Caenorhabditis elegans: one gene and its partners. The protein of the gene in region 1 interacts with the protein of each later gene in a pairwise test. Each region holds a gene or a part of one and is shown in the gene's direction. Other genes may lie near its edges.

What was found.
Region 2: the proteins of pac-1 (region 1) and chc-1 interact in a two-hybrid assay, tested with the Caenorhabditis elegans proteins (one study listed by BioGRID).
Region 3: the proteins of pac-1 (region 1) and W03D8.2 interact in a two-hybrid assay, tested with the Caenorhabditis elegans proteins (one study listed by BioGRID).
Region 4: the proteins of pac-1 (region 1) and par-6 interact in binary tests that used the Caenorhabditis elegans proteins (3 or more experiments, as listed by UniProt).

Annotation. Positions count from the first base shown.
Region 1 is NC_003281.10:8,493,103-8,498,120, forward strand, and holds the start of pac-1 (GTPase-activating protein pac-1), read left to right. Parts: upstream 1-2,007; coding exon 2,008-2,160; intron 2,161-2,995; coding exon 2,996-3,143; intron 3,144-3,954; coding exon 3,955-4,150; intron 4,151-4,526; coding exon 4,527-4,779; intron 4,780-4,832; coding exon 4,833-4,983; intron 4,984-5,018. UniProt on the Caenorhabditis elegans protein: GTPase-activating protein for members of the Rho subfamily including Rac1, RhoA and cdc42 and other Ras-related subfamilies including let-60.
Region 2 is NC_003281.10:10,201,952-10,209,836, forward strand, and holds chc-1 (putative clathrin heavy chain 1), read left to right. Parts: upstream 1-1,869; 5' UTR 1,870-1,920; coding exon 1,921-2,043; intron 2,044-2,090; coding exon 2,091-2,211; intron 2,212-2,262; coding exon 2,263-2,627; intron 2,628-2,673; coding exon 2,674-2,853; intron 2,854-2,961; coding exon 2,962-3,822; intron 3,823-3,866; coding exon 3,867-4,169; intron 4,170-4,216; coding exon 4,217-5,371; intron 5,372-5,417; coding exon 5,418-6,639; intron 6,640-6,691; coding exon 6,692-7,270; intron 7,271-7,318; coding exon 7,319-7,455; 3' UTR 7,456-7,753; downstream 7,754-7,885. Other genes in the region: dbd-12 (DB domain-containing protein), read left to right, coding at 1-95, 152-244, 291-409, 475-577. UniProt on the Caenorhabditis elegans protein: Clathrin is the major protein of the polyhedral coat of coated pits and vesicles. May play a role in yolk protein clatherin-mediated endocytosis by oocytes during oogenesis.
Region 3 is NC_003279.8:2,797,692-2,801,828, reverse strand, and holds W03D8.2 (Serine/threonine-protein phosphatase), read left to right. Parts: upstream 1-1,984; coding exon 1,985-2,002; intron 2,003-2,157; exon of another isoform or gene 2,158-2,220; intron 2,221-2,244; coding exon 2,245-2,856; intron 2,857-3,104; coding exon 3,105-3,302; intron 3,303-3,349; coding exon 3,350-3,616; downstream 3,617-4,137.
Region 4 is NC_003279.8:12,667,741-12,674,986, forward strand, and holds par-6 (Partitioning defective protein 6), read left to right. Parts: upstream 1-1,639; 5' UTR 1,640-1,717; intron 1,718-1,885; coding exon 1,886-2,019; intron 2,020-2,551; coding exon 2,552-2,645; intron 2,646-3,575; coding exon 3,576-3,767; intron 3,768-4,514; exon of another isoform or gene 4,515-4,580; intron 4,581-4,616; coding exon 4,617-4,714; intron 4,715-4,783; coding exon 4,784-4,904; intron 4,905-4,954; coding exon 4,955-5,048; intron 5,049-6,108; coding exon 6,109-6,305; 3' UTR 6,306-6,707; downstream 6,708-7,246. Other genes in the region: T26E3.4 (RWD domain-containing protein), read left to right, coding at 121-224, 938-994. UniProt on the Caenorhabditis elegans protein: Necessary for apicobasal and anterior-posterior asymmetries associated with cell adhesion and gastrulation during the first few cell cycles of embryogenesis. Required for localizing/ maintaining par-3 at the cell periphery.

The DNA of each region.
Region 1 (5,018 bases):
CCATGCCAATTTCATCGCATCGCAGTGTTCCTAGTCATTTTCGATGTGGTAGTTTCGTTTTGATCGGTCCAATTTAGTCTCTTATTTTCCTACTTACCAGTCACAATACTACCGACATCCCCATCGTCGCCACAATCGGTTACATAATAATTATCGTTCGCAATCGGGCGCCACTGCCGCCACACATTCACTCACAGACAGTATACTGTTGGGCACTGATGCTTGTTAGTGTGGTACACGACGACGACAACCATAGATAATTCGCTCATTCATCAGAATCTGAGGACGAGATGAGGGCCACGATGATGATGACAAGCGTGTCAAGGTGAACTCGCGTAGTCTTTCCGTCCGTGTTTGCCTCGTTTTCGCGCGCGCACCCCTTCTTCACTGGCGCACCTGGCTTGTGTCCTTTTCATCGAATCGCTGTCCTCTAGATGTCGTTAGTCTCGTTCCTTATTTCATTTAACGTTCAAGGTTCCTAATATTCTCCATAATTTGTAATTCGAAAAACGCTTCGAATTCTCTCATTATCAAAATTTACGATATCAGCTCATGTGCTTTGTAAATTAGTTTCAATCCGCCCAAGATTCATTTCTATTATTGTCATAAAATGATTTTATTTGGTTTTGTTCTGAAAATTCTGAGACATTCTTGATCCACTCATTAAGATCTGAGAATCTTCCGTGCGAGATTTGAAACTTTTTGAATAATCTTTCGTCTATCATCTCTCTAAATATCTACATCTGGATGGCACATCCGGGTGTAAAACTATAAGATGCCAATCGACAATGATGAGGGAGAAACAAAAAAAGAAAGGAGGATTTACTTTTGTTTTCTTTTCGAACATCTGCTTTTGTCCGCGTTTTTTTTCATCCTCTTTCCATTTCCCTGCCAAGTGGGAACAAGTTTTTTGTTGAAAACTTCTTCCTCTCCCCCCTCCTCATTTCCCTCCTTGTCATTTCATTCATTTTCCTCGACAAATTCCATATTGGTTTTGTATAATGATACTTTTAAATTTCTCGAATGTGAATTTTTAAGCATATGCATCCCAGCCTAGAAGTGCCCTGATTTGAATTTTATGAGCTGAGCATGAAGAATATCTGCATCCTCACCTCTGCCGTATAATGTGTGCCAGCCCACGCCTGCACAAATTTTATTGGTCGTTATTTTACGCCGTTGCAATGAAGGTATATCGGTACACCTCAACTACGCACTTTTTGATGCTCAACGGATTATTTGAATTTCAAACTAAGTGAAATCGCTATAGCATTTACATTTATAATGCATTTTGTATTCACAGCGTACCGTTTTGCTATTTACTCAAATAGATTCTTTTCAAAATTCATAAAAGTGGATTGATTGCTCTAAATCGTCTAGTTTAAAAATTTTTTCATTGTATTTTTAAATAAAAATGTAGAAAAATATTATTAAGAAAATACTATCACAGTTTGTTCAAACAATTTATTTTTGATCAACCTCGTCATTCGAACTTCAGCAGGTAGATCAAAAGTAAATTATATGAAAAACCTTGATTGTATCGAAATTTGTAGCATAATGATTAAAGTTTCGTGATTCCTTGCCGTAACCTTTTCGTAGTCAGAACGCGCCAGACAAACCTTCGAATTATCAGAAGCTCAAAAATATATGTTTTTGGTTTATCATGGAACGAAAATATTTCTAATTGGATTCTGGGTTCAATTGCTACTGCTCCGAGGTCATTTCTTTGTGAACATGCATAATATATTTCCTTTGTTTCCCATTCCTCTGCTACACTTTCTCCATTTCCTCCAAAAATTTTGGACGATGCTTTTCGGATCGCTTTTCTTTTGCTTTCTCAAGAATATTTATTGCTTATAAAATTGTTGTTCCTCAAAACTCTATATTACTCTCTTCTAACAAAAAATACAATTTTCAGATAATAATAGTGTGCGTCAGACGGCACACGACGTCAAACACGTCAAACATAACGAACAACAGAAGAAACAAGGAAAGAAGAGTTTCGGCTCGATGGAGGAGCACCATCGACGGCTCCATGTCAAGGCGGAGCGTGCGTCGGTGATAGGAGGAGACATTGTCGACGGAGCATTCGGCAGTTGGGCTCTTCGAGCAGCACGTAGTGAGCATCAACTTAAGCAGCAGAGTAACGAAGATTTAGCTCAGGTTGGTGGAATAAATTACATTTTGTTCAAATTAAATATTTTTGTTGAGAAAAGAAATACAACAGAATTGAAATAATTATTAGCAAGGTTCGAGAAATCTAGAAAAAAAATCGAAAATTAAAAAGCGAAAATTTTCCAATTTTTTGTAGCAAATTAACAATAAAATTAAATTAAAAAAAAAATACTTTGTGCATGTTGATTTAAAAAAAATCATGCAATTTTCTTTAAAACAAAGGGAAAATGACCAAAATATTGAGCTATTTTTCGAGATATAAGAAAAAAATTTTTTCGATTTTAGTAAGAATCGAAAAAACGACATCCTTGTTTGGAATATCGTATTAAAAAGATTTACCAAAAATGCTAATAACTATTTCGAGCTCTGTTAAATTAATTCTGACAATTTTACTTTTTACAGACGTTTAGCTGACGCTACTCGTAGAATTAACTGTAAAATGTAAGAAACAGAAAATGGAAAAAAAATTCCTGATTCCATTAGCGTTCTATTCTGAAAGCTATTTAAGTAAAATTGGTAGTAGAAAAAGCAGAATGATTAACCATTTTCTCCTTTTTTCGCCATAAAGAATTGGATTCAGTGCAGTCAGAATCACGGCTTTTCTCCTCGTTTGCATCTTTCATAAAATCGGCTCCGCGCTTTCCTGCTTCTTTCCGATTACCCATTTTCTTTTATCCGATTTTATGTGCTGTACGATGAGAAAAGCCGAAATTGGTGAAAAATAAATACGGAATACGGTAGCTTGATAAATTTCAATTGTCCCGCCCCGTTCTCTAGTATTCTTTTTCTTTTCGTTGGAACAGTAAATTATTTGTAATTTCAGAATGCTCGAATCTCGGCATTGCTCGGTGAGATGCGTCCAAGAATGTCAGCGATGCCACCAAATGGACATCAACAGCAATATCAGCCACAGTTGAGAAGAAAAGCAAATACGACAAATATTGTGGATGTATCATCACAAGTTCCATCAGGTAAGGAATATTTATTACTCAGATGCAAAATTTTTCTATTTTCGCTCCAAAAAAATACGGTACACCGTCTCAAAGTTTCCGATGTTCTTGAAAGCAAGCGAGTGTGCGCCTTTGAGGAGTACTGTAGTTCCCAAGTATTTTTTGTTGCGAGATATTTTCGAATGTTTCATAAGTGTAAATCTTTAAAATTATTGAAAAATATGTCAACATATATTTTTTAAAATTCATAAAATCTTGAAGAAAAAAATCAGCAAAACATAATTTCTACACGTGTTTTTTGTCGAAGAAATTTAATTTTTTTCCTTACTAACCAAAGGTGCCATCGAATTTTTTTCAGAGCCGATCAAAAACGAACAATCGAATAAAAAATGTTTAGAAGATTAACAATAAAATTCAATTTTTAAAATCAATTTTTGTTTTTTTGTTTGTAAATAAAAAAGAACAATTTTATTTTTAATATTTTTTTTTGAAATATCGGTTTGAATTTAAAAAAAAAACTGCAATTATTCGATTTTTCTTAAAATCAGAAATCAATTTTTTCGATGATTGTGAAAAGTCGACACCCTTGCGCCCAAAGAAGAATCCTGAGATTTTCATATTTCATTCTGAGAATTTAAATTTTTTTGGCAATTAAAAAAATTGTCAAATTACCGCCCAACTACAGTAGTCCTTAAAGACTCTTTCAATCTAAATAACACGTCTGTCACTTTGTTACCGGCTGCGGTTTTTATAGAAAAATTTGAGAAATATTGCATCTGAACAAGTTATTAAAGGAAAATTGGATGTTCTAATCTTTTAATAGAATTTTCAGCACGAAATGCAATTTACGGGTCTTGGCAAGATCGTCATCGTCCAACGCGTCTGTATGGAAGTCAACTTGTTTCGTCTTCTTCAACTCTTCCCAAATATGATCAATTGTATTGCAATACAGCGTCACCATTAACTGGAAACGGATCAACCAATACAATTGCCACAACTGGAATTCGCAGAGAACCACCTGAATATGGGTATGTATTCATTCTGCCTTGTGTCGTTGTGATCCCTAAAATACAAAAAAAGAAACGTATTTTCAATCAGAAAATCACTACAAAATTGTGATTTAAGAAAGAGCGAATTCCTATTTTCTCTGTTAAAATTCTAACATTTTTTTTTTCATAAAATTTTTTTTTTTTTAATATTTTTCGGCAAGAAAAACAAAACCATTTCGATTTTCCGGAAAATCGAAAAATCGAAAATAATGATCAAAAAGTTAACAATAAATTCAAATTGGAAAACCGACATCCTTGATGTGCACCACTATTTGAAACAAACTTTTCCCACTTTTATCGCTTATTTAAAAATTATTTTTAAGCTTCTCACAAAAATTATAATTTCTACGTTTAGAAATGTTGGTCGCTCGGTGTCAACTTGGCAAGTTACAAACTCGGAACATCGTCCATCATTGCAAGCAGGATGGTTGAAAAGTTCACGTCCATTAGCTCGCGGAGCACTCTCACCGGCTGCATATTTCCGTGATTTGGAGAATAGACATGGAAGTGGAGCGAGCTCTCCGATCGTTGGAGGATTATCAGTTGTGGCGGTACCGATTACCCAGCGTCATGCTCCAACTGCTGGACTTGCACCTATTAGTGATGATGTGAGATTTCTCATATAATTTTCACGTTTTATATTTTTTTATAATTTTTTTAGATATCCACTTCCAAAGTATCATTGGATACGGAGAATCAACAATTGAATAATGAAGACTCTGATAAAATATCTGGAAGTGCTTTATCCCGTAACACGCCTAGACAAGCAAGTTTTATGGCTGCAATGCAGAGGCATCCATTGAAAGAAAGTAAGTAAAATTCTTCTCATTTAACGCGATCTTTTAGA
Region 2 (7,885 bases), 1.7 Mb from region 1:
ATCCTAACCACTTGTTCCATGTATGCTGTGAGGAACGACAGTTGCCTCCCGCATGTGTTCAGAAATGCCATTTTAATGTTTATAACAAAGGAGTGGTAGGTTTAAATAGGTCAAGTTTATATTGTGAAATTGAATTTCAAAAATTGTATAGCTGGAATCAATGTTCTTTGGTTCAAGTGAATGCCCGATTGAATTCCTGCCAGAAATGCAATTTTGTGCGGCTCAAGGAAAAGATCATAGCCAGGTAAAAGGTCGTTGAAATCTGCTCAATAACTTCTTACTAGTTTCAGTGTTGCTCACAAAGTCAGGTGGATGCAACGACGGCTGGAAGTAAATGTCTAACCTTCTGCGATCAAACACCCGATCTCTACACTCCAATTGATTACAGCTATGCGCCTTGCCTAGACAGGTTTCCATATCTTTTTATCTTCCAATTCTCGAGGCAAAAGTCATGTTGAATTAAATTGGTTGCAGGTTCGAGGACATGAAACGATGCTTCTATGATAATGTGAAGTCGGATGCAATCACACATTTCGAGGCGAAAAAGAGTTTGCAGGATAAGAGTACATCTTATTAATTGTTTTTGATTTTATATTTACTTAACTTGAGATTTCGAAATAAAATGTGCGATTTCGCAATACCCATCACGACATACTTTGTATTTCATTTTCCATTAAAGCGGAACTATTACACATTTGCGAATTTCTGTGGCAATTGCATAAAAAAACCGGTACCGGGTCTCGACACGAAAGATTCTCTTAAATGCAAAAAGTGTGATCTTCGGTCCGTGGAGTACTGTAACTTCCAGCAGGGCTAATACAAGAGAATTTGAACAGAAAACAATACATAACATTTTTATTCAAAAATGCCAAAAAATTATAATACAATTCAATTTTGAAAACAGTTTTTCGTTGTATTTTGGACCAAAAAAATCGGTTTTTTTTTGCGCAACGTTGTTGGATTCTCAACGTGTTTTATCTCAGTTTTTCCTTGAATTTCGGTAAAACAGAACAAAAAATGAAATGTTCAAAAAAAGTGTTCCAAACTACAGTACTCCTTAAAGGCGCGCACACTTTTAAATCAAAGAAAATTGGTCGTGTCGAGACCCCGTACTGTATTTTTTGTGTAAAACTCGAAAAATTTCCGTGTATGAGTGATCTACTGATTGAAATTGAGAAAACAAAGTTTATCCGCAGATCAAATTTGTTTTTTTTTTCTTTTCAATATTTCACGGCAATCATTTCTTAATCCAAACACGTAATTCACTGTCGTAATTGCTGATGACTCATTCATTTCATACGAACGCTTTTCTTTTGTCAATCCTTCGGCCGTACAAACATAAATTTTTCCTTGTGAAATTAAAAACTCCGCCCAAAGCGAAGAAAATTCCCAGAAGAAATTCGGCGGAAAAGCGCGCTCTACCGAGAAGCGGGGCGCGTCGCGTCGCGTGCCCTGTGATGACAGGGCGACTTGTTCAAGCTTGGCAAACAGGAATCATTTCTCTCGATCAACTGGCTTCTGCATGTTTGACAAAGCTCTCTCTTGATAAGACATTTCCGTTCAATTGTTTTATTTTTACGTTTTCCCTCTTTTTAGGTGCGCTATGAGTCCTCAAAAATTTTTCTTTACTCAGCAAAGAGTTCTAACTTTTGGAATTACAATTTTTCCTTCATTTCAAATCATTCACAGTAATAACAGCGGCCAAAGCTAGCTTTAAAGCTGTATATTTTTCCATTTATTCCTTCAATCTACCGATATTCACTTCTATTTCCCGGAAATGTCTCACTTTTGTGATAAATTTTACGTGACTCATCTTTTTATTTTTATCGTGTTCTCTTTTCTTTTTTTTTCAAACATCTCCATTTGCAGGTATATAATTTATTGTAAGAAGTTTTTCCATTCTACACACAGTTTTCAAAGATGGCGCTCCCAATCAAATTTCACGAGCACCTGCAGCTTCCGAATGCTGGAATTCGGGTGCCCAACATTACATTCTCCAATGTCACAATGGAATCTGATAAGAACATTGTTGTTCGTGAGATGGTAGGTCAAATAATCGCAATTAACTGTTCTAAACGGATAATTTCCAGATTGGTGATCAACAACAGGTTGTGATTATTGATTTGGCCGACACAGCGAATCCAACTCGTCGTCCAATTTCTGCTGACTCAGTAATCATGCACCCAACTGCCAAAATTCTTGCTTTGAAATGTTAGTTTTCAGTACCATTTGACTCTGAAGCTTATTTATACCTTTTTTCAGCTGGCAAGACACTTCAAATTTTCAATATTGAGTTGAAAGCAAAAGTGAAAGCTCATCAGAATGTAGAAGATGTAGTTTATTGGAAGTGGATCAGTGAGAAAACGATTGCACTCGTTTCCGACACAGCCGTCTATCATTGGTCGATCGAGGGTGATGCAGCTCCAGTCAAGATGTTCGATAGACATCAGTCGTTGGCCGGAACTCAAATCATAAATTATCGCGCTGATGCCGAAAACAAGTGGCTCGTTCTTATTGGAATTTCCGCAAAAGACTCCCGTGTCGTTGGAAGTATGCAATTGTACAGTACCGAGAGAAAAGTATCGCAGCCAATCGAAGGCCATGCCGCTTGCTTCGTTCGATTCAAGGTAGGACTAATTCGATGATGGATTTGTCATATTAATAATGTTTTAGGTCGATGGAAACCAAAACCCATCTAACTTATTCTGTTTTTCCGTCAAAACCGATAATGGAGGAAAATTGCACGTTATTGAAGTAGGAACCCCAGCTGCTGGAAACACTCCTTTCCAAAAGAAGAATGTTGATGTTCCATATACCGCTGACACAGCTGGCGATTTTCCAGTGTCTATGCAGGTATGTTGCTTATAGTCGTATAAACAAAATTTGATATCTTTCTGATTGATTGTTTATAATTTCAAAAGCTGAATGGTGTTGTTTATAAAATAAATTGTTGGTTTTCAGGTATCTGCGAAGCAAGGAATTATTTACCTGGTAACAAAGCAAGGATATGTTCATCTTTATGATGTCGAGTCTGGAACACGGATTTATTCGAATCGAATTTCGACTGATACCGTATTTGTGACCTGTGAATACACAGCTACAGGAGGAATAATGGGAATTAACAGAAAGGGACAAGTTCTTTCCGTCTCTATCGATGAAGCTAACTTGGTTCCGTTCGTTACGAACCAGCTGCAAAATCCAGATTTGGCTTTGAAGTTGGCCGTGCGTTGTGATCTGCCTGGAGCTGAAGAGTTGTTCGTTCGCAAATTCAACTTGTTGTTCAGCAACGGACAGTTTGGAGAATCAGCCAAGGTTGCTGCATCGGCTCCACAAGGAATTTTGAGAACACCAGCCACCATTCAAAAGTTCCAGCAGTGCCCGTCTACTGGTCCAGGACCATCTCCACTTCTTCAATATTTCGGAATTCTTCTCGATCAAGGAAAGTTGAATAAATACGAAACACTCGAGCTGTGTCGTCCGGTCTTGGCACAAGGAAGAAAGGAGTTGATAACGAAGTGGCTCAATGATCAGAAGTTGGAGTGTTGTGAAGAATTGGGAGATCTCATTAAGCCGCACGATGTGAATACTGCTCTTTCAGTCTATTTGCGTGGAAATGTCCCGCACAAGGTTGTTCAATCTTTTGCTGAAACTGGACAATTCGACAAGATCGTAATGTATGCCAAGCGTGTCGGATTCCAACCAGACTATTTGTTCCAACTTCGTCAAATTCTCCGTAATTCGAATCCTGATCATGGAGCAAAATTCGCTCAACTTCTTGTCTCTGAGAGCGAAAACGGAGAACCACTTGCTGATCTTTCACAGGTAACGAATGAGAATAAGGATTTGGCTAATTTAAACCTTTTCAGATCATTGACTGTTTCATGGAGGTTCAAGCTGTTCAACCATGCACTTCATTCCTTCTCGAAGTTTTGAAGGGTGATAAGCCGGAGGAAGGACATCTGCAAACGAGACTTCTTGAAATGAATCTGCTCGCTGCCCCAGCTGTTGCCGATGCTATTCTAGCCAACAAGATGTTCTCTCACTACGATCGTGCCGCTATCGGACAACTCTGCGAAAAGGCTGGACTTCTTCAAAGAGCTCTCGAACACTTCACTGACCTCTACGACATTAAGCGAACTGTTGTTCACACCCATCTTCTCAAGCCTGATGTGAGTTTCTAATTAGATTTCTAAAATAAATGCTAATTTATTTTCAGTGGCTCGTTGGATATTTCGGAAGCCTTTCTGTTGAAGATTCGGTCGAATGCTTGAAAGCCATGCTCACTCAGAATATCCGACAGAACCTCCAAGTCGTTGTGCAGATTGCATCCAAGTATCATGAACAGCTCGGAGCTGACAAGCTGATTGAGATGTTCGAAAATCACAAGTCATACGAAGGTCTTTTCTACTTCCTTGGTTCGATTGTCAACTTCAGCCAGGACCCAGAAGTTCACTTCAAGTACATTCAAGCTGCCACGCGCACAGGGCAAATTAAAGAGGTTGAGCGTATCTGTAGAGAGTCGCAATGTTATGATGCCGAACGTGTCAAGAATTTCCTTAAGGAAGCCAAGCTCAACGATCAACTTCCTTTGATCATTGTCTGCGATCGTCATAACATGGTTCATGATCTTGTTCTTTACCTGTACAGAAACCAGCTCCAGAAGTACATTGAAGTCTTTGTTCAAAAGGTTAATGCCGCCCGTCTTCCGATCGTTGTTGGTGCTCTTCTAGATGTTGATTGTAGTGAAGATGCTATCAAACAATTGATCATTAACACTCGTGGAAAGTTTGACATTGATGAGCTTGTCGAGGAAGTTGAGAAACGCAATCGTTTGAAGCTTTTGAATCACTGGCTTGAATCGAAAATCCAGGAGGGAGCGACTGATGCTGCTACCCACAATGCGATGGCCAAGATTTACATAGATTCTAACAACAATCCCGAACGATTCTTGAAGGAAAATCCCTACTACGATAGCAAAGTTGTTGGAAAGTACTGCGAAAAGCGTGATCCTCACTACGCCTTCTTGTCATACGAACGCGGACAGTGCGACGCTGAATTGATCAACGTGTGCAACGAGAATTCACTATTCAAGAATCTTGCAAGATATTTGGTGAAGAGAAGAGACTTCACTCTGTGGGAGCAAGTTCTCAACGAAGAGAATGTTCATCGTAGACAGCTGATAGATCAAGTGGTTCAAACTGCTCTTTCCGAAACTCAAGATCCCGAAGACATCTCTGTGACTGTTAAGGCATTCATGGCTGCCGATTTGCCGAACGAACTTATTGAACTTTTGGAAAAGATTGTTCTCGATAACTCTGCATTCTCGGAGCACCGTAATCTTCAAAATCTGCTCATTTTGACTGCAATGAGAGTAAGTTAATTATTTTAGAAAACATATTCGATCAATCCACTTTCAGGCCGATAGAACTCGTGTGATGGAGTACATTCAAAAGCTTGACAACTATGATGCTCCAGATATTGCTAACATTGCTATAACTTCTGAACTCTACGAAGAAGCGTTTGCCATTTTCAAGAAATTCGATGTGAACTCAAGTGCCATCAATGTTCTTATCGAGAACGTGAACAATTTGGATCGTGCTTACGAATTTGCTGAAAAGTGCAACCAGTCAGATGTCTGGGCATCTTTAGCCAAGGCACAGCTCCAACAAAATTTGGTGAAGGAGGCTGTCGATTCGTTTATCAAGGCCGATGATCCAGGAGCGTACATGGAGGTTGTGAACAAATGTTCTCAAACGGAGCACTGGGAAGATCTTGTTCGTTACCTTCAAATGGCTCGCAAGAAGAGTCGTGAGTCATACATCGAAACGGAACTCGTTTTTGCTCTGGCCAAGACTGGTCGTCTCACTGAACTTGAAGAGTTTATCGCTGGACCAAATCACGCTCAAATCGGACAAATTGGAGATCGTTGCTTTGACAATGGAATGTTCGATTCCGCTAAGATCCTTTTCAACAATGTTTCCAACTTCGCCAAACTTTCCGTTACTCTTGTTCGTCTTGGAGAATATCAAGGAGCTGTCGATGCTGCACGCAAAGCCAACAGCACGAAGACATGGAAACAAGTGTGCTTCTCTTGTGTCGAGAATGGAGAGTTCCGGCTTGCCCAGATGTGTGGACTTCACATCGTTGTCCACGCTGATGAGCTTGAGGAATTGATCAACTTCTACCAAGATCGTGGACATTTCGAAGAGCTCATTGCTCTTCTCGAAGCTGCATTGGGTCTTGAACGGGCTCACATGGGAATGTTCACCGAACTCGCGATTTTGTACTCGAAGTATAAGCCAGAGAAGATGCGTGAGCATTTGGAATTGTTCTGGAGCCGTGTTAATATTCCAAAAGTTCTTCGTGCTGCCGAGCAGGCTCATCTTTGGTCCGAGTTGGTGTTCTTGTACGATAAATACGAAGAATATGATAACGCCGCACTGACAATGATGCAGCATCCAACTGAATCTTGGAGAGAGCAACATTTCAAGGAAGTCATCGCTAAAGTCGCTAATGTTGAGCTATACTACAAAGCAATGCAGTTCTACCTGGATTATAAGCCACTTCTCCTGAATGACCTTCTTACTGTGCTATCGCCTCGGTTGGATCATTCGCGCACAGTTTTGTTCTTCAATAAGCGTAAGTTTAAATTTCGTTTAGTTTTTAAACTTTTAATAACAATAATTTTCAGTGAAGCAAATCCCACTGGTCAAGCCTTACTTGAGACAAGTTCAAAACTTGAACAACAAGGCTATCAACGAGGCTTTGAATCAGTTGCTCATTGATGAGGAGGATCACGCCGGGCTTCGTTCTTCTATTGAGGCTCAAGACAACTTTGACAATATCACTTTGGCCCAACAACTTGAGAAGCACCCACTTGTGGAATTCAGAAGAATTTCCGCATACTTGTTCAAGGGAAACAACAGATGGAAGCAATCGATCGAGCTTTGCAAAAAAGACAAGCTGTACAAGGATGCCATGGAATACGCTGCAGAATCGAGAAACGGAGAACTCGCCGAAGAGCTCTTGTCATTCTTCCTGGATGAGAAACTTTATGATTGTTTTGCCGCCTCCCTTTACCATTGTTATGATCTCCTTCACCCCGATGTCATCATGGAGCTCGCTTGGAAGCATAAGATTATGGATTACGCCATGCCTTACATGATCCAAGTTATGAGAGATTATCAGACGAGACTTGAGAAGTTGGAGCGTTCTGAGCATGAGAGGAAAGAGGAGAAGGCTGAGCAGCAACAAAACAATGGAATGACCAGTGAGTTTTAACAAATATTTAGAATTTAAATTTATTTGATATTTTCAGTGGAACCACAACTTATGCTTACCTATGGTGCCCCTGCCCCACAAATGACTTATCCAGGAACAACTGGTGGCTATGGCGGACAGCCTGCTTACGGTCAACCTGGACAACCAGGATATAATGCCCCTGGATTTATGTAATTCGATAGTTTTATCCCCATTTTCTTACCCCCACCCCCTCACTTTCTCCCCGCATCAATAATTATATTGTAATTTATTGCTTGATGTCTATACACTTTTTTTGTTTAAATTATGATATTCTATTTCTATTTATTCCGTCCCCTATGAAATTGTGATGGTTGTATTCTAATCCGTGAACTTATCCTTAAGGTTGTTGGTCCGATGTGTCGTCTCTCTCAGTTCTGCCCGTTTTCAAAAAAAAGTTGATCACAACTCTTTTAAACCACCAGAACCATCATGAATAAATTAATTCGTTGTTACCAATCGCGTTCGAGTTTCGGATGAAATACTGGTTCAGTCCATCATCATAACATTTTAGTTTTACGATTTTAACTTTTTGTATTATTCACTAGCTGAATTTTTTAAATTGAGATCTAGAATAAGCCATTTT
Region 3 (4,137 bases), on another chromosome or scaffold:
AGAAAGTTTTAAAATATAAATCCAGAATATTCATAATCTACATTTTACAGTTAGCCTTTGATTAAGCACAGAAGTACATGCCTAGTAGGTAGGTAGGCAGGCAGGCATAATGTAGGGACGTACTCATATGCCTATCATGGGAACCACAGCGTAAAATTTTCAGGATTAAAAAAAAATTCTGAAAACCGGATTCCGGAAAGACATTTTCTACATTTTTAAAACAATTTACATTTTTTTTTTTTGCATTACAAATTCAAAATTAAGTCAAAAAATTGGAGTAAATCACTATAATGCAAATGTGCTCCACTAAAAACCATGGCCGCGGAAAGGAGAACACTCTGCCAGGCTCCAAAAAAAACCGAAAAATTTATTAATTTTGGAAGACGAGTTTCAAATAGATCTGTGACAAAAATACAATGTTTTTGAAAAACTCGGCTACGGAAACAAACATGAATATATTTGAATATTTAACCTAGGAACTCATGGCCTAGAAATTTAAAAACTCTTCCACCATGTGATGTAACTATACCAAGTAAATTTCTTAACCGGTAATTCGACACCATTAGTATTTTTTTCGATAATTTAGTTGATTTATTTAAAACAGTTCTAATGTTTTTTTTTAATTTAAAAAAAGTTGTGCTACTATTTTATGCTCCACCAATAAGCGTGCCCGCGCAAAATAGAAAACTCGGCCACCATTTTTTTTTCTAGGCTACGGTGGCAACAATCTGGCCTAGAAATTCAAAGAAAAACTCTTCCACCATAGAAAGTAACAAGATCAGATGACAGGAAAGGAACTGTGTTTATGAGTCAGATCTCTGTGTAAAAGGAGACAGCAGTGAAGAGGTTCCGGAGAGTAAAAGTGGAGAAGCATACACAGACCATATATGCCTGTGTGCATCATACTGATAAGACTTTTATTTTCTCTGCGTGTCTTTGCCCTCTCTCCCTCTCTAACCTTAAAAATTCGAAAAGTGTATGAAGAGGCGACCCATGTTTGTTTTCTTCTTCTTTTCACCTCATCCCAAATTGGCTGCTGAATCATTCAAATGGAAATCGGAAAGTGATACATATAGGAGGGAGGTCAAGTAGACTCCTTTTTTGTGAGTACACATAATTATGAATGGCATGGTTATTACGTACAAAATGTTATGTTTCGAAACGTTTCGGAATGAAGAGAGGTCTGTCTGGCAGGTGAAAAGGGCAGCAGCGTCATGGTATTACCGGGATACGGGTGATGCGAGGTGCGGTAAGAAGGTTTTAGGATAGGCATAATAGTTGACTACTTAGGTACCTACAAGGTGAACGTATCTTTTTTCAAAAAATTTTGCCATGTGAGAAAATATTGTGATTTAAAAAAAGTTTGAACTTCAGAATAGATAAAATATCTTGTGGTACGAAATTTGTAGGCACCTAGGCCTCTACTTGCCTTCAAGGTGACCTACAATCAATGTACCAAAATGCAGAAAAAAGGCGGTAGGCAGGTAGTATTGAGGCAGGCGAAAAAGTTAATTTATTTCATTAAATTCTTTTTTGTCTGAAAGATTTTTGATGAAATTTGAAGGCGCCTGCCTTGCGAAAGCCAGAACCCAAAACGGTAGGCAGGTCCAAAAAGTAGGCTTGTACCCCTGAACCTGCCTTCAGTGTGCCTACACATACGGCAAGAGTCAGGGCAGTCGGCAGTTACACGTGCTTACTATTTTTTACAGTAAACCTTCCTTTTGTAGACGCAGATGTACCTGCCTACCTTGTGCCTAGACCTGATGTCAAAGTACCAGACGGTAGGCACACACGTTCGCCTAAACCTGTTTATTAGGGCCAAAATTTCTTTAAAATCACAATTTTTACGTGAAACTTTTATTTTTTTTAAACATTGCCAACACTTTCTTATCTCATGTAGAATCTCGTTATTGATTCTGGAGAAAGAAAAACAATTTATTTTGCAATTTTACCGATATAACAAAGGCAATTCAAACAAAACAAAATGACTTCTTCGAATGAGGTAAGTAATGTTTTGGGCCTACCTGCTTGAAGGTCTACAAGCCTGCTTACAAGCCTTGTGCGGCGAGTCGGCGCCTTACTTGCCTACTTTCGCAAGCCATTAAAATGCAAAAAATAGGCGGCAGGCGGGAACATAGGCAGGGAACCAGAGACTTGAGCCTAAGCCTAGGCTATGCCTAAGCACAAGCCTAAGCCTAAGCCTGAGATCAAGCCTAAGCCCGAATCTAATATTAACATTTTCAGAAACTTCCAAAAATCAACCATGACAACGAAGTTTTCGCGTTGCTGTACAAGATATTGTCATCCGAAGTTCAGACTATAAAAGGAGAAGACAATGAGAAAGTCAATCAACTGAGAGTGGACATTACCATCTCAGAAATCTCGCAGCTCACCGACAAGATGAAAAAAGCGTTTTTGGAGCAGCCAGCTCTCCTGGAAATTAGCAATGAGCCAATCACAGTGGTCGCCGATATGCACGGCCAATCGATTCACCTGCTCCGAATCTTCCTGACAAATGAGGCTCCCCCGAATCAAAAGTACTTGTTCCTCGGGGACTACGTGGACCGTGGATCACAAAGTGTGGTGGTGATGTGTCTTCTGTTCTGCATGAAACATCGCTATCCTCAGCATGTTTTCTTGCTGCGTGGCAATCATGAAGACGTCAATACTACGCTGAACTACGGATTCTATGATGAATGCCTGGAGCAGTGGAAGAACGATGAAGGAGAGAAAGTGTGGAGAATGTTCATTGATACTTTCAATTGTATGCCGTTGGCGGCGGTTATTGGAGGGAAGGTGTTCTGTGCACATGGTGGAATTTCGCCTTGGCTGGAAAGTTTGGAGGATATTAATTCGGTAAGGAAAATTTTTAGCCAATTACTATAATTTCGGATCCTAAATTGGATCCCTCGCCATTTGATCTGCAAAAATTGCGGGAAATTAATTGTTACATGGTGTGACGTCACCGGCGTCGTGTAGTATAGTTTTCCCGCGATTTCTGTAGATCATTGACGCATCATTTTTCAATGGAAGAAAAATCGCCGCAAATTTCCAGAAAATCCAATTAACTTTGAAATATGTTGATAAAAAATCTTGATTTTCAGATCGAGCGTCCCTTGGTGGTCCCACCGTACGGCCTAGCGTGCGATCTTCTCTGGTCGGACCCGGCTCAGCCGGAACGCAACGGCTGGGGCCTCAGTCACCGTGGAATTTCATTCACTTATGGCAAAAGTGTTGTCGAAGAGTTTTGTGCGAAAAATGACATTGCTCTGGTGATTCGGGGACATCAACTGTTTAAGGAGGTAAGCTGGAGTGACTGAAGCCTTTGATAACTGAGTGTCGTTTGCAGATGTACCCGCAAGGATGTGTGCTTCGTTTCGGCGGTCGCCTGATCTCCCTGTTCTCCGCACTGAACTACGAAGGACACAAGAACAATAGCTCCGTGCTCAAGCTTGAATTCGTCGGACAGCGTGTGAAGGTTAAGCAGGTTCTGTACAGATGCCGACACTACGCACCGCTCCGTTCTAATGAGTACTTGGGATTTCGCGATATGAAGTCGTCATCTGGGAAGAATGAAAAGAGAAAGAAAGGAAGATTGGAGAGTCTTTTGGGATAGTGAACTTGATTGATTGAGAATAAAGTTTTTGAGATTTTTTTTTGTATTTTTTGAGGCTCTAATTGTATTGGAAACAGTTTACCCCAAAAAGTTTTTAGTGGCCGACATCTTACGTGTTCATTTTTGGAGTTGAATTTAAAACTTCGATAAAAAAGGCGAACCCACACCAACTCGGGATTTGGCTCTAACTTCTTGGCCCAAAAAATATTAACTTGGATGAGAAGTCGGCTGAACTTGTGCAAAAGTTGGACAATAATTCTGCAAAACTTGGATTCAGGCAGCACCAAAGTTTAACTCAAGTTTCATCCAACTCTTGCCAAACCCAAACTTTTTTTGTTTTGTTCCAAACTTGGGTAGAAGTTTGGCAAGAGTTGGGTGAAACTTGGGTGACACTTTGGTGCAACCTCAATCTTTTCCTAAGTTTAGACCAACTTCTGTATTTGCATAATTATGATCTTAAGTCACTGTTTTCCCACTTTTGAAAACAAAAAGTTAGTGTCGGACAACATGGCACCCGCGAG
Region 4 (7,246 bases), on another chromosome or scaffold:
TTGAACTTTTTCAGGCGAAAAATTCATTTAAATCCCATTTTCTGGCTCCAAATCTCACAAAAAATGTGATTTTCCGTCTGAAAATCGCTGAAAATTTCAAAAAAAACCAATATTTTCCAGGACGTCAACTATTCCTTCGTGACGCTACACTCAATCTCTCTGACGTCACACTTATTGGAGCACAAGATGAAGTCGAAATTGATGAGAGCCTCTTTGATAATGAGGTTTCTGGAAAAAACCACTGAAAAATCGATTTTTTACTGAAAATTTACGATTTTCTATTAAAAAATTGCATGAAAAACATGCAAATTCATTGGAAATTGTCGATTTTCGAGTTTTTTTCGGTGAAAATCCGAAAATTTTTTTTTCTTTTTTGAAACGTTCCCTTTTAAAACCTGGAAAAATGTAAAAATTCGCTAAAATCCCCATTTTTTCACTGAAAAATTAGACATTTTTTACTCAAAATTTATTTTTCCATGGAAAACTCTGTTTTTGAGCTAAAAAAAATGCAAAAAATCTGGATTTTTCCGAAGAAAAAGCTTCAAAATTTACAAAATTTGGCATTTTTGGCTGAAAATTCACGATTTTCCACTTTAAAAGTGAATTTTTTGTGATAAACTTCATATTTTCTATCAAAAAATTGAAATTTTCTCACTAAAATTCCGATTTTCTATGGAAAAAACGCCAAAATTCCCACATTTTTCAGTGAAAAGCTACTTGAAAACGCGAAAAATTGCAATTTTATTCCAAAAATTGTTCGAAATTTCGAGTTTTTCTCATAAAATTGATTAATTTCAAGATGAAAATTCGATTTTACTGCCTAAAATGATCAAATTTTCCGATTTTCAACATAAAAAACCTCCAAAAATCCCATTTTTTAGCCTAAAAAACCCCAAAAAATCTCAAATTTCCACTCAAAAAAACCCATTTTTTCCAGGAACTCGAAGGTCTTGAAATGGATTCCGAAGAAGAAGAAGAAGACGATGAAGAATAGGATTTCCCCTCAATTTATTGCATTTTTCTGTGATTTTTCGCCATTTTTTCGGCGAAAAATCCCGTAATTTATCCATTTTTTTGCCCCCCAGTTTTTGTTGATTTTCACGGTTTTTCGTTTCAATTTTTTCCATTTTTTTGCGTAAAGATTTGTTTTAGTTTTAACCTTTTTTTTTGAATTTTTCGCTGTTTTTATCAGCTTTTTTATCGATTTTTTATTGAAAATTTTTGGCGATGAGTCATCAGTTTTTATCAAACTTTTTTGGAGAGTTTTGTGACTCATTTTTACTCAATTTTCAGCGGAAATTTGGTGTTTTGAAGGTTTTTTTTGTAAAAATCGCAAAAAATGCGATTTTTAGCTTGAAATTTCATTTTCCGCTAGAAAAATGTTCAAAATTGCCATTTTTTGGAATTTTTATTCAATTTTTCTACTCAAATTTCCTAAAAATGTCTATTTTCCAACTCAAATTCAGTTTTTTTTTCCGTTGAAAACTGTTCAAAACTCTAACTTTTAAATTAAAATTCAATTTTTTCCATTGAATAATTATTTAAAATCCGATTTTTGATTAATAAATTCAAAAATTATTCACTTAATAATTTTTTCACTTAAAAAAGGTTCAAAAATGTGAAAAAATCCAATTTTCAGCCGAAAAAATCGATATTTCCCACGAAAATTGTGCATTATTTCCGGCTCAACGCGGAGCTGCACCTGTAACTTGTAATTGTGAGTTTTAATTTGCGAAAATCATAATTTTTCAGCTTAAAAGTATGGAAAACGTCGAAAAATGCGATTTTTCTACTCAAAAAAAGCCGGAATTTCCAATTTTCCAGCTGAAAACTGTTAAAAATCGCGTTTTTCAGCTCAAAAAACCCGAAAAATCCAAATTTTCAGATGTCCTACAACGGCTCCTACCATCAAAATCATCATTCAACACTTCAAGTCAAATCGAAATTTGATTCTGAATGGCGTCGTTTCTCAATACCAATGCATTCTGCGTCTGGTGTCTCTTACGATGGGTTCCGGAGGTGATTTTTGGCCATTTTTAGCCGAAAAATCGAAAAATTCAGCGTTTTTTTTTTACCTAAAATACGTCAAAACCCATGTTTTTGACGTAGAAAAACGTTAAAAATTGATTTCTCTACCCAAAAGTTACTGAAATTGTCATTTTTAGGCATAAAATCCCTTAAAATTCAGAAAATCGGATTTTCAACGATTTTCAGCTGAAAAATCCAAGGATTCGGCGTTTTTTGTCCTAAAATACGCGGAAAATGATTTTTTTTACTTGAAAAAATCAGATTTTTTCCGATTTTTACCTTGAAAACCCTAAAAAATCTATTTTCCAAACCAAACTTGGCCAAAATCGGCATTTTTAGGGCTAAAATCATGCGTAAATCGAATTTTCGCCATTTTCAGCCGGAAAATCGAAAAATTCGTCTTTTTTTTTGTGTTTTTTTTTACCAAAAACGAGCGGAAAATGATATTTTACCTGAAAACTCGATTTTTGAAGCAATTTTCCCGTAAAAGTTCAATTTTTCAAGTAAAAATCGATATTTTCAGCCTTGTCGAGAAGCTTCATCACCTGGAAAGTGTCCAATTCACACTGTGCTACAACTCGACTGGCGGTGATCTTCTACCAATCACAAATGACGATGTTAGTAGCGGAAAACTGAAGAAAATTGATTTTTTCAGTGAAAAAAAAAACGAAAAAATCGAGTAAAAATGACATAAAATTGATATTTTTCACTAAAAAATGCTAAAAATTCAATTAAAATGTCTCGAAAATTGATTTTTTCAGCTTAAAGTTAGTCAAAATCGATTTTTAAAACAGCTCAAAAATCGTTAAAAAATAAAAATAATAATAATAAAAAAATCGATTTAATATTCGGGTGTCTCCTACGAGGACAAAAAATCGATCGATTTGAAAACTCACAGAAAAGTCGAAAAAAATCACAAAAAATCAATTAAAAATTGATTTAAAAACTCAAAAAATCGATAAAAATCTCAAAAAAAAATCGATAAAAATCGATAAAAAGTCTATAAAAATCTGAATGTTAGTAGGGAAAACTGAAGAAAATTGATTTTTTCGGTGAAAAAATCGAGAAAAATCGAGTAAAAATGACCTAAAATTGATATTTTTCACTAAAAAATGCTGAAAATTACTAAAACATCACTTATCGATAAAAATCACAAAATTTCGCTAAAAAATCACTAAACATCTTAAAAAATCGATAAAAAGTCCTAAACTACAAAAAATTGATTTAAAAAAATCGAAAAAAGTCTCAAAAAATTGAAACAAAAATCACAAAAATTCGGTGAAAAATCCCCAAAAAATCAATAAAAATCACAAAAAGAATCGATAAAAAATTACAAAAAAACTCAAAAATCGCTTTAAAAAATCAATACAAAACCCCAAGAAATCGGAAAAAATCGATAAAAAATCGATAAAAATCTGTTGAAAAATCACAAAAATTCGGTAAAAAATCCCCAAAAAATCAATAAAAATCACAAAAAGAATCGATAAATTCCTAGAAAAATCCCAAAAATCGATAAAATCCCAAAACTACCATTATTTTTTTTGCAGAACCTCCGAAAATCGTTCGAATCGGCTCGCCCACTGCTCCGTTTGCTCATTCAACGCCGCGGTGAATCATGGGAAGAGAAATATGGTTATGGTACAGACTCTGATAAACGATGGAAGGGAATTTCATCACTTATGGCACAAAAACCACCGAAACGCAGTTATTCAATCTCGAATCCCGAAGATTTTCGACAGGTAATGGGTCTCACAGCGAAAAAAGTGGAATTTTTGAATTCAGCTCGCTGAGAGCTTCGAAATAAGTATAATCATGACCGGGTTACGATGGATTTGAAAAAAGTTGGGTCTCGCCACGAAAAATCGAAACCACAGTAATCCCGTTTCGTGATGGGACCCAAAAATTTCAAATTTCGCAGAACCTAGTCATGATTATACTTATTTGAAAGCTATTGATGAGTTGAATTCAAATTCCGGAAAAAATTTTGAAAATTTCAATTTTTGGTCCCACCACGAAGGAAATTTTCGCTGCGGGACCCAAAATTTTGGAAATCTTCAAATTTTCCGGAGCCCAGTCATGATTATACTTATTTGAAAGCTCTCGGTGAGCTGAATTCGGTTGAACTCATGAAATTGCAAAAATCTGGTCCCGCCACGAAAGTGCCAACCTACAGTAACCCCAATTTCGCGGTGGGACCCGCATATTTCAAAGTTAACGGAACCCATGATTATACTAGTTTTAAAGCTGACAGTGCTCCCAATTCAAAAATATTGATAAAAATCTCAAAAATTGGATCCCACCACCACGAAAATGCCAACATACAGTAATCCCATTTTCGTGGCGAGACCAACAATTTTCAAAGTTCGCGGAACCTAGTCATTCCATTATACTTGTTTGAAAGCTCCCAGTGAGCTGAATTCAGATTTCGCAGTAATTTTCTAAAATTTCGTCACTTTTCGTGGCGGGACCCAAATTTTAGGAGAATTTTCAAAATTGGCAAAACCTAGTCATGATTATACTTATTTTGAAGCCCTTAACGAGCTGAATTCAAATTTCCCATTAATTTTTAAAAATTTTCAATTTTGCAGGTCTCTGCAATCATCGACGTGGACATTGTGCCAGAAGCTCATCGCCGTGTCCGTCTCTGCAAGCACGGACAAGAACGACCACTTGGATTCTATATTCGGTATCGATTTTTCTGGAAATTTCAGATTTCTTGCCAGAAAATCCCAAAAATCTGCAATTCTTTTTTCAGTGACGGAACATCGGTTCGAGTGACAGAACGAGGCGTCGTCAAAGTTTCAGGAATTTTCATTTCCCGGCTTGTCGATGGTGGGCTCGCCGAGTCCACAGGCCTTCTTGGTGTTAATGACGAGGTTTTTAATGGAATTTTCAGAGTTTTTAATCTAAAAATTCCGGTTTTCAGGTGCTCGAGGTGAATGGAATTGAGGTTCTCGGAAAGACGCTGGATCAGGTCACTGATATGATGGTCGCCAATGCTCATAACTTGATTATTACTGGTATATAATCCGGAAATTTGAATTCAGCACGCCGAGAGCTTTGAAATAAGTATAATCATGACTAGGTTAAGATTATTTTGAAAAAAATTGGGTCTCACCGCGAAAATTGCGAGAACCCACTTTTTAAAAAATTTCATTAGAAAATTTGAATTCAGCACACCGAGAGCTTTCAAATGCGTATAATCATGGCTATATTCTGTCAAACTTGGAAAATTCGGGTCTCGCCAAGAAAATGATAAACTACAGTAACCCATTTTCGCGATGGGACCCAAAATTTTCGCATGTGACGCAATCTTGTCGTGTTTATACTTATTTGAAAGCCCTTGATGAGCTGAAAACGAATTTACTAAAAAATTTGAGAAGTTTCAATTTTTGGGCCCGACCACGAAACTGATTTTCGCGATGAGACCCAAAATTTTGGAAAAAATTAGATTTTCGCCAAACCTAGTCATTATTATACTAGTTTTGAAGCTCTTGGTAAGATGAAATCGAAAAATCTAATTGAAATAGCGAAAATTGGGTATCACCACGAAAATCGCTGCCTACAGTAACCCAGTTTTCGTGGTGGGGTCCGAAAATTTAAAATTTCGCATAACCTAGTCTTGATTATGTTTATTTTAAAGCTCTAGGCGAGCGGAAGTTGAATTATTTAACAAAAATCTAAAATTTCAATTTTGGGGCACGACCACGAAATTGGCTTTCGCGGTGGGACCCAACATTTTGGAAAATTTTAAATGTCCGCCAACCTAGTCATAATTATACTTATTTGAAAGCTCGGTAAGCTGAAATCGAAAAATCTAAATGAAATCGCGAAAACTGGGTCCCCCACTAAAATCCCAACCTACAGTAACCCAGTTTTCGTGGCGGGACCCAAAATTTCGGAAAATGTTCAAAATAAACATAGCCTAGTCATGATTATACTTGTTTGGAAGCTCTCAGCGAGCTGATTTTAAATTCTGTAGTAATTATAAAAAACAAAATTTTCAGAAATTTTTTTTCGAAAAAAAAATTTCAAATTTATTTTTTTTTTGAAAATTCAAAAAATCCCAATATTTTCCAGTAAAACCTGCCAACCAACGAAACACACTGTCACGAGGACCGTCACAACAAGGAACACCGAACGCCAGTGAGATGTCGGCCGCCACCGCAGCCGCTACAGGTGGAATTCAGCGCCCGATGAAAATGAACGGAAGCTCCGACGGCAGTTATCATCCGAAACAGCACGACGCAAATGATTCGGACAGTGGAGAGGACTGAAAAACTCTTTTCAGCCATTTTTCCTCGATTTTTTCAGAAAAAAAAACCACAAAATGTGACCATTTTTATACATAATTATATTATTTATATTCTCGCTAAAACCACACACACACACAACCAAAACCGCTTAATTTATTTATTTTCCCCTTTTTCTCCTAATTTTTAATCAAATTTGTCGGCTTTCTCTTCACTTTTTTGCGCACAATTTTCACTTTTATTTCCCCCGTTTCTCGCCCCAAAATGTGCCTTCCTTTCGCCCTTTTTATGTGATTTTTCCCCTTCAGAGCTCTCTGAGCCCATACTTTTTTTTTCGAACTTTGGCTCAAATTTTTTGACAACAGACACGACATACAATTTTTCCCCTGAAATTCACATTATTAGTGAGAATAAATTATTTATTTCAAGCTTTGAGAGATCAGCATTGTGAAAAAAATGTTGCCATTACGGGGACTCGAACCATGGCCTTTTGACTGGAAGCTTTTTCGTCGAAAATCCCACTGCTCCATTTGGACATTTTTGACAATTTCCCAGAAATGACATAATTTCGGGTAAATTTGAATTTTATTGAGTTCTTGACGATTTAAGGCTTTAAAAACTGAGAAAATCTACATTTTCAGCCGATATTCCGCTGATTATTCTCAAATTCTTATTTTTCAAGGTTTTTCTCTGCTGTTTAGGAATTGATATTATAATTTTTGGGTTGAGAATTGAAAGTTTAGCCTAACAACACTATGGAAAAAAGTTTGCCACAGTGGAGACTCGAACCACGGTCCTTTGACTGGAAGCTTTTTCGTCGAAAATCCCACTGCGCCATTTGTACAGCATTTTTGAAAAGTGCCCAGTAATGAAAAGTCTGTAATAAAATGTTACCTTTGAGTGATTTTTTGATGATTTAATGTTATAAAATCTGTGCAAATCTGAAGTTTCAGTTGATTTCCTAC